3 linked regions of the Arabidopsis thaliana genome follow. Each later gene encodes a partner of the first gene's protein in a complex. Each region holds a gene or a part of one and is shown on either strand. Other genes may lie near its edges.

Region 1 (5,324 bases):
TTCATTAGAAATTATGTTATAATATTCACTAAGGAAAGTTTATATACGAAATTTTAAAACGTAAAAAGTATAAATGCACTTTGATAATCATACATATATTCATGAATAAATAGATCGGTCTATTTTACACGAGGCTATGCTTTTTTGAGTTTTTCAGACACTTAAGTTTATGCCTCCCATTGGACTTGATTTTCAGAATGGAAGCGTCTTTGCTTAGTGAATAGATTGAAACCACTGCTAACTAACACTGAAATGGTTATCAGGTACCTTCATTTAGTTTCGAATTAGATTATTGACATTTGATCTACTTCGAATTTCGACCAACTGTAAAATGTAATCCAAACTATCGAATACGTGTTGAATTGTTCTTCTCGTCAATTTATTTGTCAGCTTTTTCTGGTCAACTTTGGTCTCATTAATGATTGGCTACTTGGACCCTCTTGTCTCATTAAAAACGGTGCACCCTTTATAAATAGGAAATTAAGATCGACGGACCATATATACTAGTTATCAAATGACGTCGTAACTCGTAAATAAGTACTAATGAAATCGAAAAAAGTGATGTTTTTTGGGATATATTTCAAAAGATCACTATCAAGGCACAATCAAGAAGCTGAGAAGTTGCATAATATGGTCATTTTGCAAAACAAAAACCATATTTCATATAGGGAAATACTATATTCTGGGTAAAATAAGATACAAGAAACTGATCTCAAAAGCTTAGAAGTAAAAAAAAACACACTCGAAATCTTCTTCTTTCTTTTTTTTCGTAATAGAATATAAGTAGGAAACGAACTCAGAAAAAGAATAAACAAAACCCATTAATATTGTTCTTCATTTTCTTAGGATTGATAATTATATATAGAATGAAGGAGATTACTGGTTTTATGCCTTTCTAAGGCATGCCTCCAAGATCCTTGAAGTATTCATGCTCCAGGGCGGCTCTTGCGTTGATTCTTTTGGTCGGATCCATTAACAGCATTTTCTGAAACAAATCAAGCAGAGAGATATATTATCATCTTTGCTTTCACAGGAGCTCAAAATCTTAGATTTCTATCCAGATGTCTGGTTTGGTTAGGAATTTCAAGAATCCTGGTTTTTGAAGATTGTTCATATTTCAAACAAGTTTGGTTTTGGCTTCATGTGGTTTTGAAACTATGAAGCCTAATCGAATTGGTTTTAGTACGCCGGCTCTTGATGACTTTATAAGACATCTAAAACCTCAAATGGTTAAAAGGTTTTTAGTAAGAAACATGAGACCAGATCCATCACAATCAAGCATACAGGTCTCTAATAGCAGAAGTAGTGTGTCTATATATGTGTGTGTATATATCTAGCTCAGTGAACTTACAGAAAGGAGATCGACTCCATCGGGATCTAGATTGGGGACAAAAGTTTCTAGGTCCTGTGGTATAAGAAAAAAAAACAAGGGCAAGAATTAATATATGTTGTGAACTCTTGACTACTGAAGACAAGATGTACAAGCGAATAAAGACATTTGAAGTACCGTTGGTTTCCATTTAGGGAAAGCAGATTTATAATCCGGTAGAGAAGTTACCCCACGCCATGTATCCTCGTACGGAGTTCCCATGATTCTAGAAGAAGACAACAAAACAAGGCAGTAACAGATTTATAATCAGTTAACAATTCAATTTCTGTGTCCTTTACTACTTCTCCAAAATGTGATATCAAGTTGAAAATGTTTCCACAATCCCTTGTGATATCATTGCAGACAAGTCTTTGCACTTGTAATATATAGAGGAATATTGGACTGGGGAAGTTAGCAATTAAACCTGAAAATCTTGAAGAGTTGATCAATCTCGGAGTCTCCAGGAAATAAGGGCTTTTGGCTGATCATCTCAGCAAATATGCACCCCACAGACCAAATATCAACAGGTGTAGAGTAATGATGAGATCCTAGGAGTATCTCTGGTGCTCGGTACCAGAGAGTAACAACCTAAAGGAACAATATGCAAAAATTGTGTGAATAACCAGGAAGAGATCTGAAATCTGGATGTAGCATTGAAATATTTTACAGTATCTTGAACTAGCTTACTTCAACCGTCTATGTGAAATGGCTTAGTCCTTTTCATCACATTTATCAGACACATAAGTGGTATAATACTTAATTTACATTACACTCATAAGGAATGCAGCCAGCCAAAAGATTTCATAACGGGAACATATGAACAAGGAATAAAGCTCTTTGGTACCTCATGAGTAAATGTCCTGACAGGGATACCGAATGCTCTGGCCAGTCCAAAATCAGCAAGCTTCAGTGAGTTTGTGCGGCGATCAATCAACAAATTCTGTGGCTTCAGATCACGATGGAGAACCCTATGAGAGTGGCAATACGCAATTCCACGGAGAATCTGGTAAAGATATGTCTGAAAATAGTGGATGAACAGCTCTGATCAGCTTATATTGAGTATTGAGTTTAAGCACATATATAAAACAATGCCTAAAGTTTCTTAGCACTCACTTTGATCATATGTAGATCCTTGGAGAAATCAGGAGTAGAATCCATGTGCTTTTTGAGATCCAAGTCAAGATACTCAAAAACCAGATACAAACGTTTCTCGCTGTGCACCACATCCTGCAATCTGTGTAGCAAAAAACATCAATCAAAATTGTTTACCAGAGTCATCATGCTGAATCAGTTTTCAACAATGGTATTAACATCATACTTGACAATGTTGCTGTGCTGCATTTCTTTCAAGAGGGAGATTTCTCTGATTGCTGTGCTAGGAACACCTTCATCCTCCTGCTCTAGCCTGATCTTCTTCAAAGCAATTGTCTCATTAGTCACTTTGTCACGTGCCTTATAAACCACACCGTAAGTTCCTTCACCAATCTTCTCAACTTTCTCGTACTGCATTAATAAGAGCACATTAACAGAGACTCTCGTCAAAAGAGTAAGAACTGAAACAACTATTTACACCAACCTGATCCATCAATTCCTGAATAATAAAGCTGAAGTAAACTCCACACTTATAAAATGTCACCTGTAGATTGATAATGACACATCGATAATAACACATCAGAGGCTATATTAATTAAGCTGTATATCAGCACACAACAATCTCAAAATTAAAGTCAAATCTACACAAAGACGCAAAGAAACAAATCAATCTCAGATCCGAGCTACTGTGGATTTGATTCTTTGGACAGAATTATGAAAATGAACAATCAAACAAGCCAGCTGAATCCAGAGCAGCGAACTCATATATTATCAAATCCATAGAAACATAGAGCTAAAGCGAACAATCATAAACACTGATGACAAAATGCACACAAGCAAAACCAGTCTAAATCTAGTGAAACACTAAGAAACGCCACTGAAAATGCAAAACGGAGGAAAACAAGTAGAGATCAGCGACGAAGCAGTAAGATAATTGAAGATGGAGAAAAGATAAAGCGTTTGATGAATTGACAACAAAGTTCAAGTCAGAATTTCGCACGGAAAACAAGTTCCTCCTCCGGAAAAGAAATTGATCGGAGAGTAACGAAATCAACTTACCGGCGACGATCGGATGTAGTGTCAGTGAGACTAGCACACCGACGGATCCTCTCTCTTCTCTGTGGTAAAAAGGCAGTAGAGAGAGAAGGGTGGTGGTTTTCTGTGAAAAGCTTGAAGAGAGGAGGACTAGGGAAGGGGATTGACTAATTGAGAGTAAGGGTTTTTTCTTTCTTCTTTTTTTTTTTTTGTGTCAAGGAAATTTTGTTCGTTATTTTTTTTTTCTCTTCTTTAATTTCCAATAAATTGAATTTACCTAACCGCATTAATTTGGTACAATTTTATTTATTATACCGGGTTTGATTGGTATTCAATGATAAAAAAATATATCTTTTATGATGAAAATGGTTTGCTATCTTATAAAATGGTATATGAACCAAAAAAAAATCATTGCAGACCAATTATAAATCAAGAGTTTTGGTTTTACATTGGATTGTTGTCTATCTCAACGATCCATTTGACAAGCAAAATTGTATGTCCGGTTTGCTGTAACCATTTAGAATCTAAGTTAGAAAAAGACGTTTTAGATCATAAAAATGAAAATGGAGAAACATATGTATCCTGTAAGTCTTTGGAGGACCAACCAAAATATAAATGGGCAATAATATGAAAGTTGTTTTAATTAAAAAATATGTCAGTAAACAACTCAACATTTAATGTAAATAATAAAGTCTGGCACCTTGGACCAACACAAAGATAAATGATCAATAATATGAAAATCATATGTTAAATGTTGAGTTAAGAGACGAGTCTTATTCATGTGGATCTTCATCAATGCTGATTTTAGTATCTAAATTTAGTCTTTAGCAGTTATATTTATATAATAATATATATAGTATAACGTTCAATATAACCGATTTTACAAAAAAAAAAATACTTCCCAAAATCCTCGTTTATTTCGCACTTGCTCACATAAAATTTCCAAATACTTTTTTTATAAACAAACCAAAATTAATACTTGCAAGAATAACGTGAGTAGAACGAGAAAAAATAAACTATTCAATAAATCACCCTGATATTCTGATACTTTATGAAAGAAAAAAAAAAAACTCAAAATTTTGTAACTAATTAAAGAACACAAAACTTTTCTACGATATATATATCTTCAAAACTTTTATCCCAAGAGTTCAAAAATATTAAACATAAGCCGATCTCGTGATCAATTTTTTAAGTTATTCTCTGAACAAGCAACTGCCATATATTAACATTTTTAAGTAATCAAATATATATAATTGGTGAGAATTGATTTATTTTCAGATATTTCTCACATTTGTATATTTTGGGAGATTAGATATATAAAGTTTTTTCTGATAAAAGAGCTATACGGTTATCAGTTGTAAGTAAGGGAATTGGCAAAACTAACCAACAAAAAGTTTATAATTAAGAAACTAACATCAAAAGGAAAAAGAACTGATATCCTCTATATTTTGTATATTAATTCCAAGTTTACCCCTTTATCTATTTTTCTCCATTTCTCTTTCCGTCTACCTCTCTCTTCCCTTCTATCTTCCCTCCCTCTTTCTCTCTCTCCCCCTCTCTCTTTCTCTCTCTTTCTTTTTCCCTCTCCCTCTCTCTTTCTCCCAGTAAAGTCTTTACACCTACCTCGTTACTTGTTTTTGTTTTCAAATCAGAGTCTCTTAATTACTTTTGGGTGAGATTTGATTTGGGGGTTTCGAATTACAGAGGGAGGAACACAATTTGGATTCAGGGAATCGACTTTCGTTGTTGCGCTTGGTGTCTTGGTGATGAAATTGAGTTTCGTTGTTGCAATTTGAGAGATACTATTCTATTTGTAAATATACTATTT
Region 2 (5,292 bases), on another chromosome or scaffold:
TCAAATACTTAAATAGTTGGGTTGTTGGCATTTACTGCCACAAGGTAAACTTCTTTCTTCTTTACAGCCACTAGGACATGATAGAGTGATTGCTCAATTATGTGAATATATCCAATGGCTGGGTTTAATTTGAGAATCAAGACAGTTTGTTGGAATGTGACCACAATTATGGCCGGTCCTTTTGATGTGAATCAGGACTTGTACCAATGATGTTACTCCTGCAGGTAATCAGGTTATCTGCTGCGACTCAAGAATACCCTAAATCTATAGTCTGCAATGTTCATGGCGTCAACCCTAAATTTCTCGAAATTGGGTTGAGAAAACTAGAACAGCAGAAGCTCCAGGAGCAGCCCTTCACTAAAGGCGCATACTACATTGGTAAGATGGTCTGGAGCAAAGGGTACAAGGAGCTTCTTAAACTACTTGAGAAACACCAAAAGGAACTTGCCGAGTTAGAGGTTGATTTATACGGTGATGGAGAGGACTCTGAAGAGATCAAAGAAGCAGCCCGAAAACTCGACTTGACGGTTAATGTTTACCCAGGACGTGATCACGCTGACTCGCTATTTCACAAGTAAGTCTCTAGTTCTTAACAGCCTCAAGATTGATTGATTTCCTTGCAGTCTATCGGATTCTATACCTTAAACTTTTCCATCTTCTATTTTCAGCTATAAAGTGTTTCTCAACCCCAGCACGACAGACGTTGTGTGTACAACAACTGCAGAAGCCTTGGCGATGGGAAAAATAGTAGTATGCGCGAATCACATATCGAACAAGTTCTTCAAACAGTTTCCCAACTGCAGAACCTATGACGATGGACAAGGTTTTGTAAGAGCCACGCTCAAGGCTCTTGGGGAACAACCATCGCAACTTACAGAGCAACAAAGGCATGAACTATCATGGGAAGCTGCTACACAACGGTTTATAAAAGTCTCTGATCTGAACCGGTTATCAAGAGCTGATTCGAACTTGTCAAAGAGAAGTGTGTTTGCGTCATCTTCGATTAGTGTGGGGAAAAACTTGGAGGATATGTCAGCGTATATTCATTTCTTGGCGTCTGGATTTGAAGCTTCCAGAACAGCTTTTGGTGCTATACCTGGAAGCTTGCAGCCCGATGAAGAGTTATGTAGAGATCTTGGTTTGTCTCTCAACACTCCTTCCCCAAATACTCGCAAGCAAGATTGACCTGTTTTTTAATTTATCTTTGTCTGCATATCATTGGGATATTTTTGTGTATAAATCAATGTATACTATCTGAATCATTCTATAGCAGCTTTGGTGTAATATTGATGATGAAAGTTAGATTTTTCATCTTGTGGAACATGTATGATGACACGAGTCTGAATTATAAAATTTAGTATATGATTCCATTAAAAGAATCAGAAGCTGTACATATCATTTCGAATTCGCATTTGTCCACTTATGTGGCCAATTGCTCATATTAGAGCCATATCTAATTGCTAATAAGAAAACCATTTAACATATGAACTATGAGTAACTCGTGTCCTGTGCATTAATGGTTTACTTTTCATGGATTTTATTTATGCATACCATTCACTTTTCTTCTAATAAAGATCTTGTGAATCTTTTCTATTTTGCTAATATTTTTGTTTTTATTATCAAAAAGATAATATAGAATCTTAATCCCACAAAAAAAACATTTACCAAGAAAAAAAGTAATTAAATATTAATATTTTAGAGAGAAAAATGGACTAGAGAATCTCTTTATGCATAAAAAAAGATTTTTTGGATAGCCGTTACTGAACGACAAATCCTTTTCAGTCTCTCCTCTTTCTCTCGACAGAGCGATTTCAAGTCTTTCTCTCATAGATTAGAACTTTTTGCGATTGAAAAAACTCTTGTCCGTTCAATTTATAGTTTAAGATAGTTATGTAGTTTAGGATCTCGTTGTTTTCTTCTATATTCTCGTTAGTTGAGGCTGTTATTTAGGGTTTTAGGTTTTGTCAATTTCTGAAAGACTTATGACAGAGTCTATTGATTTAAATCGATCAGAGTCCGAGTCTGATAACAACACCGACGACGTTACTCCTATTTTTGCAATTGATGACTCTTCAAAAGGGTATGTTTCTCTTCGTCCATCTCTTGTTCGTTCCTCAATTATATTTTGTGGTTTGGTTTATATTTGTTGCAACTTGATGAATTTGGGGGTGGGTGTTATATATATATGTGATTAAGGTTTTTATGTGTGATGATTAAGATTAGTGGGAAATTTATAATATCAGTTTTAAGTATATATGTTTATATGTCATTAGGGTTTGATCTTATGATTGCTTTGTGATGTTTGATTTGTGGTTAAAGATACAGAAGAGTGAGTGGTCCTACTAGAAGATCAACTAAAGGAGGATGGACAGCCGAAGAGGTACTTATATCTCTTGTTATGTCTTGTCCAAGTTATATAAATGTGTCACTGAAACCTTTTTTCCATCTTATGCAGGACCAAATTTTGACGAATGTTGTGAAGAAGTACCAAGGGAGGAACTGGAAAAGGATTGGTAAATAATATTTTGATGTGTTAGCCATCAATATTTGCCCTAAAACCAATATACACTATATGAGTTTTTTTTCTCTTGTCTTTGGTTTAGCTGAATGCCTTCCTGGGTCGGAAGAGAATAGGAGGAATGATGTCCAATGTCAGCACCGTTGGCTTAAGGTTCTTGATCCAAGCCTCCAAAAAGGAGCTTGGAAAAAAGAGGTAACTACTTTTGCATTCCTTTCTTAATATATGCTATGTTACGTTGTTTCATTACCTAGTGATCATATATGTCTCTTGATATTCAGGAAGATGAACTCTTAAGTGAGTTGGTTAAAGATTATATGGAGAATGATAGGCCTCCATGGTCAAAAATTTCAAAGGAACTCCCTGGTCGCATCGGCAAGCAATGCCGCGAAAGGTTTCTTACATTTTTCTTTCTTTTCACATTTGGTTTGTGAACTTGATGACAAGTCCACATTTTCCCCATAATGTTGATTATGGGTTTTTTGTTATGTCTTAGGTGGCATAATCATTTGAATCCGACTATTATAAAATCTCCATGGACTAGAGAAGAGGAATTAATTCTCGTTCAAGCACAAAGAGGAAACGGCAACAAATGGGCAGAGATTGCCAAGCTATTGCCTGGAAGGTTTGTCCTTAAAACTAAGAAAACATTGTTGTGGATTTAACTAACCTTCTTGTTCGTGAAAACTAACAGGACGGAGAATAATATTAAGAACCATTGGAATTGTTCAGTTAAGAAAAGGCTAGAGCAGTTTCCTAGTAACCTCTTCTCTGGTGTGGTCTATGGTTCTAAACCTAGTTCTGGTTTTGAATACAACTTTTTCAATCAAAGAAACACGATGGTCGAGAGTTGCATAACATCACAAATCAAGGAAGCTGCAAAGAGTCCTCAAAGGGATTTCTTGGATTTAACTTTAGGACTGAATTGGAGGAGCATTTCTTCATCCACAAGCTCTCTTAGAGGAGAAGAATCAGTCTCATCATCAGTAGACTCAGTTTGTGCAAGACTCAATGGTAAGGCTGAAATATTATCTCATTGGATACGTTCTACAATTGATCATCACATGTTAACAAGTCTTTATGTAAAAGTTTCAGCGTGTTTAGAAACTCCACAGAACAGCAACAACGATACTGTGTGCGTAAAGGAAGTGAGGGAGATGAAAGAGAGACTTAGAATGGCTGCGAGGACTTTCGACACACCCTCCATTATCTCCAAAACAAGCTCACCAGCTTCAGGTTTGAAACGGCTCAGACAAAAATACGATACACCGTTTCCAACAGATGCTCGAAGTCACATGTCAAGTGAGGAAGATCACTCAGTTTCAGCTTCTCCTTCATCCAAATACAGATTTGTGAAACGCAACACCTGCTCTGGCTCAAAACCCTTGGAGAGGCGTTTAGATTTTGACTTTCTGTGAGAAGAGAAAGTGCTTTTGATTTCTTTTTGCTTTTTAGCTTTCGTATTTAGGAATCATAGAGTTTAATAATAACTCATTAAACTTTGCTTTATTTTCCTTGATGTACAAGTAAACATAGGTTTTATGGTAGTCTTTTAATTTATTTTGTTTCCGATATATTTATCAGGAAGAAAGAGAGAAGCTTCTCTTCTTGTGTGTGGTAATTTCTCATCACCTTCCTAATTTCCTAATCCGAGTAAAAAGTTAAAAAGCCTTTACAAAAAGTTACCCTAATACATATACTTATACAAGTTCCTCTCGTGAAAAGAAAAAAGGAAGCACAATCTTTATATCTTGAAAGCATTCTCTGTGTAATGAGTCGTAAGATCCAAATCACGGCCGTATCGGCGGAAAATCTGGTCGACGGTAGAAAACCGGTGAATAAGAACGCCTTCGTTGTCTTCGACATGGCCGGGAACTATTGGAAACAGCCAATGAGGACGAGTGTCGACGAGGTCGGTGGGAATTGTCCGATGTGGGAGGATGAGCTAGAGACTGAGTTTTCGTCGGAGGAAAAAGCGACAAGCGTGATGTACGTTCAGGTTTTATGTCGGAGTTCAGGGAAGGATAAGCGCGTGGGAACGGCACGTGTGCCGGTAAAGGATTTTACGGGAGAATATGCACCGGAGGGATTTATGCACTGTTTGAGTTACAGATTGTGGGACGAACATGGTCGAAGAAACGGGATTGTCAATTTCTCTGTTAGGATTCTGCCCCAAAAATCTGATCTTAAATCCGGTCTTGTGCGTCCGTTTTGGTTACGTTAGTGTTTAGGTTACAGATCGGACACGTTTTTTTATTATTATTATGGTTTTCTCTGATTTGCATTAATTCGGTCTAGTGAAATAAACTCTGTTGGCTAATTTGTTTGAGGCAATAAAAAAGAAACATTAAAATAGATGACAATAATCAACCAAAGAAAAGTAAATAGATGAAAATTGTTATATTACAATTTGCTTATTTTTCTCATTAAATATAATTTTTTTCAGTAAAATCGAATTTACATTTAGATTTTTGGACTTGTTGTTAATATATTTTTAAGTAGTGTAACTACACAATTTAAAAACTAGATGTCTAGATCCAAACCAACAACTTTTTCTATAATAAAGGATTCTACAATTATAATTTATTTATTTATTGGTAAAATCAACCAGTGTTGATATCACAAAATTGTTGCGGTTAACGTTTATGTTAAAAAGATGTTGTGTGTTTACGTTCAAAAGATAATCCAAAGGTTTTGATTGAGACATTATCAAAAGATACGCACACCGTGACACGTAATGGGCTAGAAAACAAAACGTAATGCAGTCTCAGTAT
Region 3 (5,743 bases), on another chromosome or scaffold:
TTCTTTTCCTTTTAACTTTGATGGGTACGATCTTGTTGATTCGGATGTTTCCATGCTGTTGGTCATTGAATATTGTTTCAGGATATCGATATGATCAGAGGAAAACGACTATACCTGAATGAAGAACGTTATGCTGCTTTAACTTACTTGGTAAATGTTTGTCTCAACAATCAAAAGAAGAAACTTTTGTTTGTATGGTAAAATATATAATTGTTTTGCTTGGTGAAATCCTTTTCAGGTTGGTTCTCATGGACTTGATCGCAGTTCAAAAGTTCTCGGCCAAACCACAATTGGAGCCGTCTTACATTAAACGATCTGCGTGCTATTTCTCAGACATTGATCTCTATGAGATGGTATTCATATGTTGCTTTGAAATCATCAGTTAAGATTCTAAAGATTTGAGAGCTTTTCTGATGATTTTTTTTTATTTGATTTCTGTCACTTTGGTTGATTTCTTTATTTGTGGATATATGCGATCATGTTTGTAAATAGAGTATTATTTCTTGGCAGTTGCATAATGTTTATTTTTAACAATACTATCATTGGTTAGTCTCTGTGCGCAGATTTGCATTGTTTCTTTTATTTTATTCAGGCTTACTACCTGAAAATGGTCGATAAACATCCCAATGATTAAAAAAAAAGTGTTGATTTTGAGAAGGTTTATTTGTAAAATTTTTGATATATGTACAGATTGATCCAGAGAAAGGATAGTATCAAAACGAATGTGTTGTGTTCTGATATCACTTCGATGTCCGAAAATGGAAGAATTTTCAGTGTCTTCGTCAACTATGTAACATCATATACTCAAAAGCCCTAAAAATAAAAAAGAATTAACCAAAATTCTAATCCTTTAAAACTAGTTTCTGCACAATTATCATTTTAAACGTAAACAGGACACCATGTATGTGAACGATGAAATTAAACTACTTGTGAGTGTACCTACCTACCTATTTCATTTTAGTTCGGGTGTTAGACCAAAGCCGTAGATTCATAGCTCAAGGCTGTGAGGAAGAGAATGAGAATTGTTTTTCTTCACGGTTCTCTTCCCAGCAAAGCTTCAATTCTTCTGGAACCATACTGGTTTCTTCACACGATCTCTGTGTCAACAAGGATGGAATTATTTTAGATTTGTTACTCAGATTAGTGACATTAAATAAAAGATTTGAAATTTTCACTCACAGTTTTCTAAGGGAAGAAGGGTTCTACACAGGCTTGTCTTCCTCAGACGTTTTAATTTCATTATCAGGCTGCTTCTCTTTTGCAGATGTAAACTCAATCTCATTATCTGGCTGCTTCTCCTTTTCAGATGTAAACTCAAGCTGTCTTGATTTGATTACAGCTGTTCTTTTAGCTCTTAACCGATATGGTGGAGACAAATTGAAAGCATTTCCATTTAACCCGAGTTCTTCATCATCACTGCAATTATCAGTTGTCTCCAGCAACAAACTTTTTCTCATATCTTTACTTTCTTCTTTTCGATCAACTTCCTTAACTACACCATTAACAACAACAACAGCATCTGTTTTCGCTGCCAAAACAACCTTTCGCCTTTTCCTAAAAATAGAAGGTGTGTTTGGAAAAGTCCTAGCAGCTTCTCTCAAGAAAGATTCAGGACTTCTCGTTGCAGTTAAACCACTGTCTTTATTACAGGGTGTAGTCATTAAGCTGACTGGTGATGCAGCACCGGGACTGCAACCACATTCATATCCGTACATATGTTGCAGATCCGCTTCTGATGGAAAGTAATAGTCAAGTGGAGACTTATAGTATAAATTCCCATGCTTTGGAGTTCCAAACCCGTTTTCTACTTTCCTCTGGATTGATCTCTCAAAATAAGCTTTTGAGTTGATTCTGACTTCCTCTGAAATTGGTTCCAGATTAGGCAACTGAGGCTTGTACTCAACAGGAGAGCAAGCATACTCATTGACACCGATTCTTCGTGAAGCAGCTACTTCTTCAAGCAGAGCGGAAGAAGAGTCAAAATGGTCTCTTCCAACTTCATTTGAATCTGTATTTCCTGAAGAGGTTTGGGTAAGCGAATCAGAATCCTTGAAAGGTTTAGTTGCACTAGACTGCTTGGAATCTCTGTCTCCATCAGCAATATCTTTCAGAACGATGAATTTGCTTGCTGGCGGTGGCAAGTTACCAGTTGCTAAGTAGAACTCTAATTTTTTCTTCAGTGAACTATTCCAATGGTTCTTTATGGCGTTATCAGTCCTGCAAAAAGTACAGGTAGACATCAGAAGCAAAAACTGTATGAGATGTTCAAAAATGTCCATTAACTTTATTTTTCACAAGGCCTTTTTCAACTACAAGTAAGTATACCTTCCTGGTAAAACCTTAGCAATTTCCGCCCATTTGTTTCCGTACATTCGATGAGAATTCATGAGAGCTGATTCTTCTTCTACGGTCCAAGCATCCTTTCTAATACCAGGATTTAAATGGTTGTGCCACCTGTAATCGTAAACTCGTTGAGGCTTCCAAACTCAACGGAGGTACAGGCTCTATTCTTCAGATAGTCAATATTCTAATCTTTGTTACCTTTCTCGACATTGTTTCCCAATACGACCTGGTAAGGACTTGGCGATGACAGACCATTTGGCAGGTCCATATTTTTTTACAAGTTCAACGATTTTATCATCCTCCTACAATTCACGAAAGAAAGAGAATTTTAGAGCTACCAAATTTTTACGTAAAATGAAAACCAAAAAAAGTTTCAGAACATGAAAATGATAAGAGAACCTCTTGAGTCCAAGGTCCTTTAACAAGCTCTGGATTAAGAACTTTCTGCCACCTGTGCAAGCATTGGACTTCTGTTCTCTCTGGGAAAAATTCCGCTGTAAGATGAAATACAAAAAAATCAAACAAACAGAACATTGACCGAAACCAGCTACTTTAACATTTAAGAGACAAAAAAGAAATCATGGTTCTCTTGCAAAGTGCACAGCAGAGATCATGTTTACTGAATGAGAAAAATTCACAAAATTCTCAGCAGATTTAAGATACGAGTTCAGTTTTAAAAATGTATAAATTATACATTCAAGTATACATCAAGACAAGAGTGTGATTAGAAGACCTATAATCTCATTCTAATGTATTGCAATACTACTTTTACATTCAAGAAAAGAAATTTACCTATTTTCTTCCACCTCTTCCCCTTATACTTTTCAACTGCTCGTCTAAGTGTCTCATCCTGAATAGTGATAAAAACCAATTACAGACCACAATAAGGCTAGTCTCGTCTTTCATTCAAGTAAACACTAATCCTTATACATATAAGATACATAGTCGAATGAGGTTGCTCCACACACCAACAAAATTATGAAACAAAAGCAACCACTAACCTCCTCTGGAGTCCAACCACCTTTTGCTCGTCTCATAGGTCCACTAGTCCTCCTGCAGATCAACATTAAAACATTGCAGAAACCCAAAATGAGTTCGGTGTAAGTCATCAAAGCACAGTCTTTCCAATCAATCAATTTCATAATAAGTTGTATAAACACACAGATAGAAGATGAAATGTAAAAGATAGTAAAAGTACCGAGGAAATGAAGATACTGTGGCAGGAGTTGCGATTTCAGGTGACTTGAGGAAGAAACAGCCACTACCTTCGGATGCAGAAGAGCAAGAAGCAGCTAATGGTTGCTTATTCTCCATACATTGAATCTCAATTTTCATTTCACTTCTTTCCTCCTAAAAAACCCATATAAATCACCAAATCCAGAATTTTCGTTAAAAACATGGGATTGAGCACAAAATGAACAAGAACGTATCTTTATCAAACAAATAATCAAAAATCACAAAACCCTAAAAACTCAACGGCCGCAAAATAGAAGCCAGATCTCACAAAAAAACAAGTCGATTTCTTTCAAGCACAAGATGGATGTTTAGGGTTTATACAATTCTAATCATTAGAAACCAATTCAGACCCTTTTCCAAGACCTGTTAAAACGTGTTCCGATTCAGACCTAAAACCCCATGAACTCACACCAAAGTAGACGAAGATAACAATCTGATCACAAAAAATGAAAAGCCCTAATCAGATTTCAGGGAAAAATCTGACCTTTTCCGGTGAACAAACCGGTGGATTCGAACTTGAGCTCATCGTGATCGCCAGATAAGCGAATTCGCGAGGAAGAAGAAGAAGGGAACGTTAAAAAACAAACCAAAACTTATATTCGAAAAAAACTTTGCCCGTTGAACGAGAGAGAAGAGAGAAAGGAGAAGGAGACTAATTGGGATTAAAACAAATATTGTAACGAATACTTCTTCCGCCGACGTAACTGCTAACTGCCGTTAACCTGGAACCGGCCGGTTTATTCCAAACCGACTCAAAAGAATTGGAAGAAGCCGGTTAATTGAATTGAGAAAATGAATGTTTTTTTACGAAACTTATTAATGTGACTGGGCTAATTAATTAATTATAATATTCTTTCGGATAAAAACGAAAACAACGAGTTTAATTCGTGGTTGGATAAAACCGGTTATCTAAAATCAAACTATAACCGAAAATGGTGACAAGAAACCACAGGGGGACTTAACGGACGTTAAAAGTAGAAGAAAGGTTGACGTTGGAAATAAAAGTTTCAACCTCAAACGGCACTCTTTAGCTGATGCGTTGACCATTGTACACGTCGGCAAATCAGAGGTCCTCAATGATTATGGACCGTCGGATCATTAAGATAACTCATTCTGGTTTTTTTTTTTACTGTAGTTTCTTAAGCGAGAACAGTCCGAATTGGCCCATAATTTAAAGCCCAAAGGCCGAGATATAATTAATCAGTCGAGGTTTTTGGGTAAGAAGAAGATATAGAAAATTACAATTCGTTTTAGTAAAAGAAAAGATTACACAAAAACGTAAACAACCAGACAACAAGAAGATTGAGCAAATGGGGAACTAGAAGAAGTTAAGAATCCAAAAGTATTACAATACGTTTTAATAGAAGAAACATATTACAAAACGTAGACAAGCAAATGGGGAGTGAAATATAGCGAATAAGGGACGACGAAGCACCGGCGATGATGACATCTAATCCATCGAACAACTGTAAGAGCAAAATGTCATGTCATGCCAATTGAAAATTACTTTGTGTGGACAACGATCTTCTTTATGAAGTTGGCAGAATGGTCGAGTCATGGTATTGTTGGGAAGAATATAAATGTTTGACCTATAAGCCATTACAGTATGACCAGGATTCAACATATACATCTCTTTTCCAAGCAAACAATCAACATGGAGAGTGGTGCAGCAGTCATCACACGCATAGAACCCACCTTCTCTTGAGTATTCTAATTTCTTTTCGCATACCTCACACCAGTCTAACTGATCACTTCCCTCTTCCCCTTCCCGAAATGTGAGGAAATGTTTGTCAAGCTTATACTTTGCCTTGTATGGTAAAGTAGCACAACTGAAACATATAATATAATTGCATTCGATGCAATTTAGTTTTCGACCATACTTTTTTCGGCAAATTTGACAAATTGCCTCCCTTTCTTCTTTTCGGTCTAAAGCTTGGAATAAGGGATGCTCATGGCCTTGATAATCAAATGGTTCAGAAACAGAGGCACACCGTATGTCTATGCTGTATTGATCCTCCTCATAGATGAAGCCACAACTTTCACGATCACAAGCGGAACACCTGAAGTAACCTTTAAAGTATTCATTCTGTATATCAGAGACAACTTTTAGCGTAAGTGGGTGACTGTGTAAGGCATGATCTTTCTTGCGAGAAGCATTTGCACA

The links. The genes of interacting proteins can lie anywhere in the genome.
Region 2: CDC2 (region 1) and MYB3R2 share a complex: the UniProt entries of both Arabidopsis thaliana proteins name them as parts of the DREAM-like complex.
Region 3: CDC2 (region 1) and MYB3R-5 share a complex: the UniProt entries of both Arabidopsis thaliana proteins name them as parts of the DREAM-like complex.

What each region holds. Positions count from the first base shown.
Region 1 is NC_003074.8:18,069,868-18,075,191, reverse strand, and holds CDC2 (cell division control 2), read right to left. Parts: upstream 3,739-5,324; 5' UTR 3,521-3,738; intron 3,006-3,520; 5' UTR 2,955-3,005; coding exon 2,946-2,954; intron 2,873-2,945; coding exon 2,688-2,872; intron 2,604-2,687; coding exon 2,483-2,603; intron 2,388-2,482; coding exon 2,214-2,387; intron 1,958-2,213; coding exon 1,794-1,957; intron 1,596-1,793; coding exon 1,508-1,595; intron 1,406-1,507; coding exon 1,352-1,405; intron 986-1,351; coding exon 896-985; 3' UTR 551-895; downstream 1-550. UniProt on the Arabidopsis thaliana protein: Involved in the control of the cell cycle. Essential for both G1/S and G2/M (mitosis) phase transitions. Functions in cell morphogenesis as well as cell proliferation.
Region 2 is NC_003075.7:234,047-239,338, reverse strand, and holds MYB3R2 (myb domain protein 3r2), read left to right. Parts: upstream 1-1,756; 5' UTR 1,757-1,982; coding exon 1,983-2,080; intron 2,081-2,319; coding exon of another isoform or gene 2,320-2,325; coding exon 2,326-2,380; intron 2,381-2,455; coding exon 2,456-2,513; intron 2,514-2,603; coding exon 2,604-2,713; intron 2,714-2,799; coding exon 2,800-2,912; intron 2,913-3,014; coding exon 3,015-3,143; intron 3,144-3,212; coding exon 3,213-3,532; intron 3,533-3,607; coding exon of another isoform or gene 3,608-3,613; coding exon 3,614-3,932; coding exon of another isoform or gene 3,933-3,936; exon of another isoform or gene 3,937-4,125; intron 4,126-4,630; coding exon 4,631-4,742; downstream 4,743-5,292. Other genes in the region: DGD2 (digalactosyl diacylglycerol deficient 2), read left to right, coding at 1-44, 225-574, 669-1,185. UniProt on the Arabidopsis thaliana protein: Transcription factor that binds 5'-AACGG-3' motifs in gene promoters. Required for proper circadian rhythm.
Region 3 is NC_003076.8:482,243-487,985, forward strand, and holds MYB3R-5 (myb domain protein 3r-5), read right to left. Parts: upstream 4,232-5,743; 5' UTR 4,106-4,231; coding exon 4,064-4,105; intron 3,694-4,063; coding exon 3,542-3,693; intron 3,423-3,541; exon of another isoform or gene 3,411-3,422; coding exon of another isoform or gene 3,397-3,410; coding exon 3,345-3,396; intron 3,194-3,344; coding exon 3,136-3,193; intron 2,838-3,135; coding exon 2,743-2,837; intron 2,646-2,742; coding exon 2,542-2,645; intron 2,455-2,541; coding exon 2,326-2,454; intron 2,218-2,325; coding exon 1,203-2,217; 3' UTR 1,180-1,202; exon of another isoform or gene 1,098-1,179; 3' UTR 551-1,097; downstream 1-550. Other genes in the region: PRT6 (proteolysis 6), read left to right, coding at 82-150, 239-310; AT5G02330 (Cysteine/Histidine-rich C1 domain family protein), read right to left, coding at 5,030-5,743. UniProt on the Arabidopsis thaliana protein: Transcription factor that binds 5'-AACGG-3' motifs in gene promoters. Transcription repressor that regulates organ growth.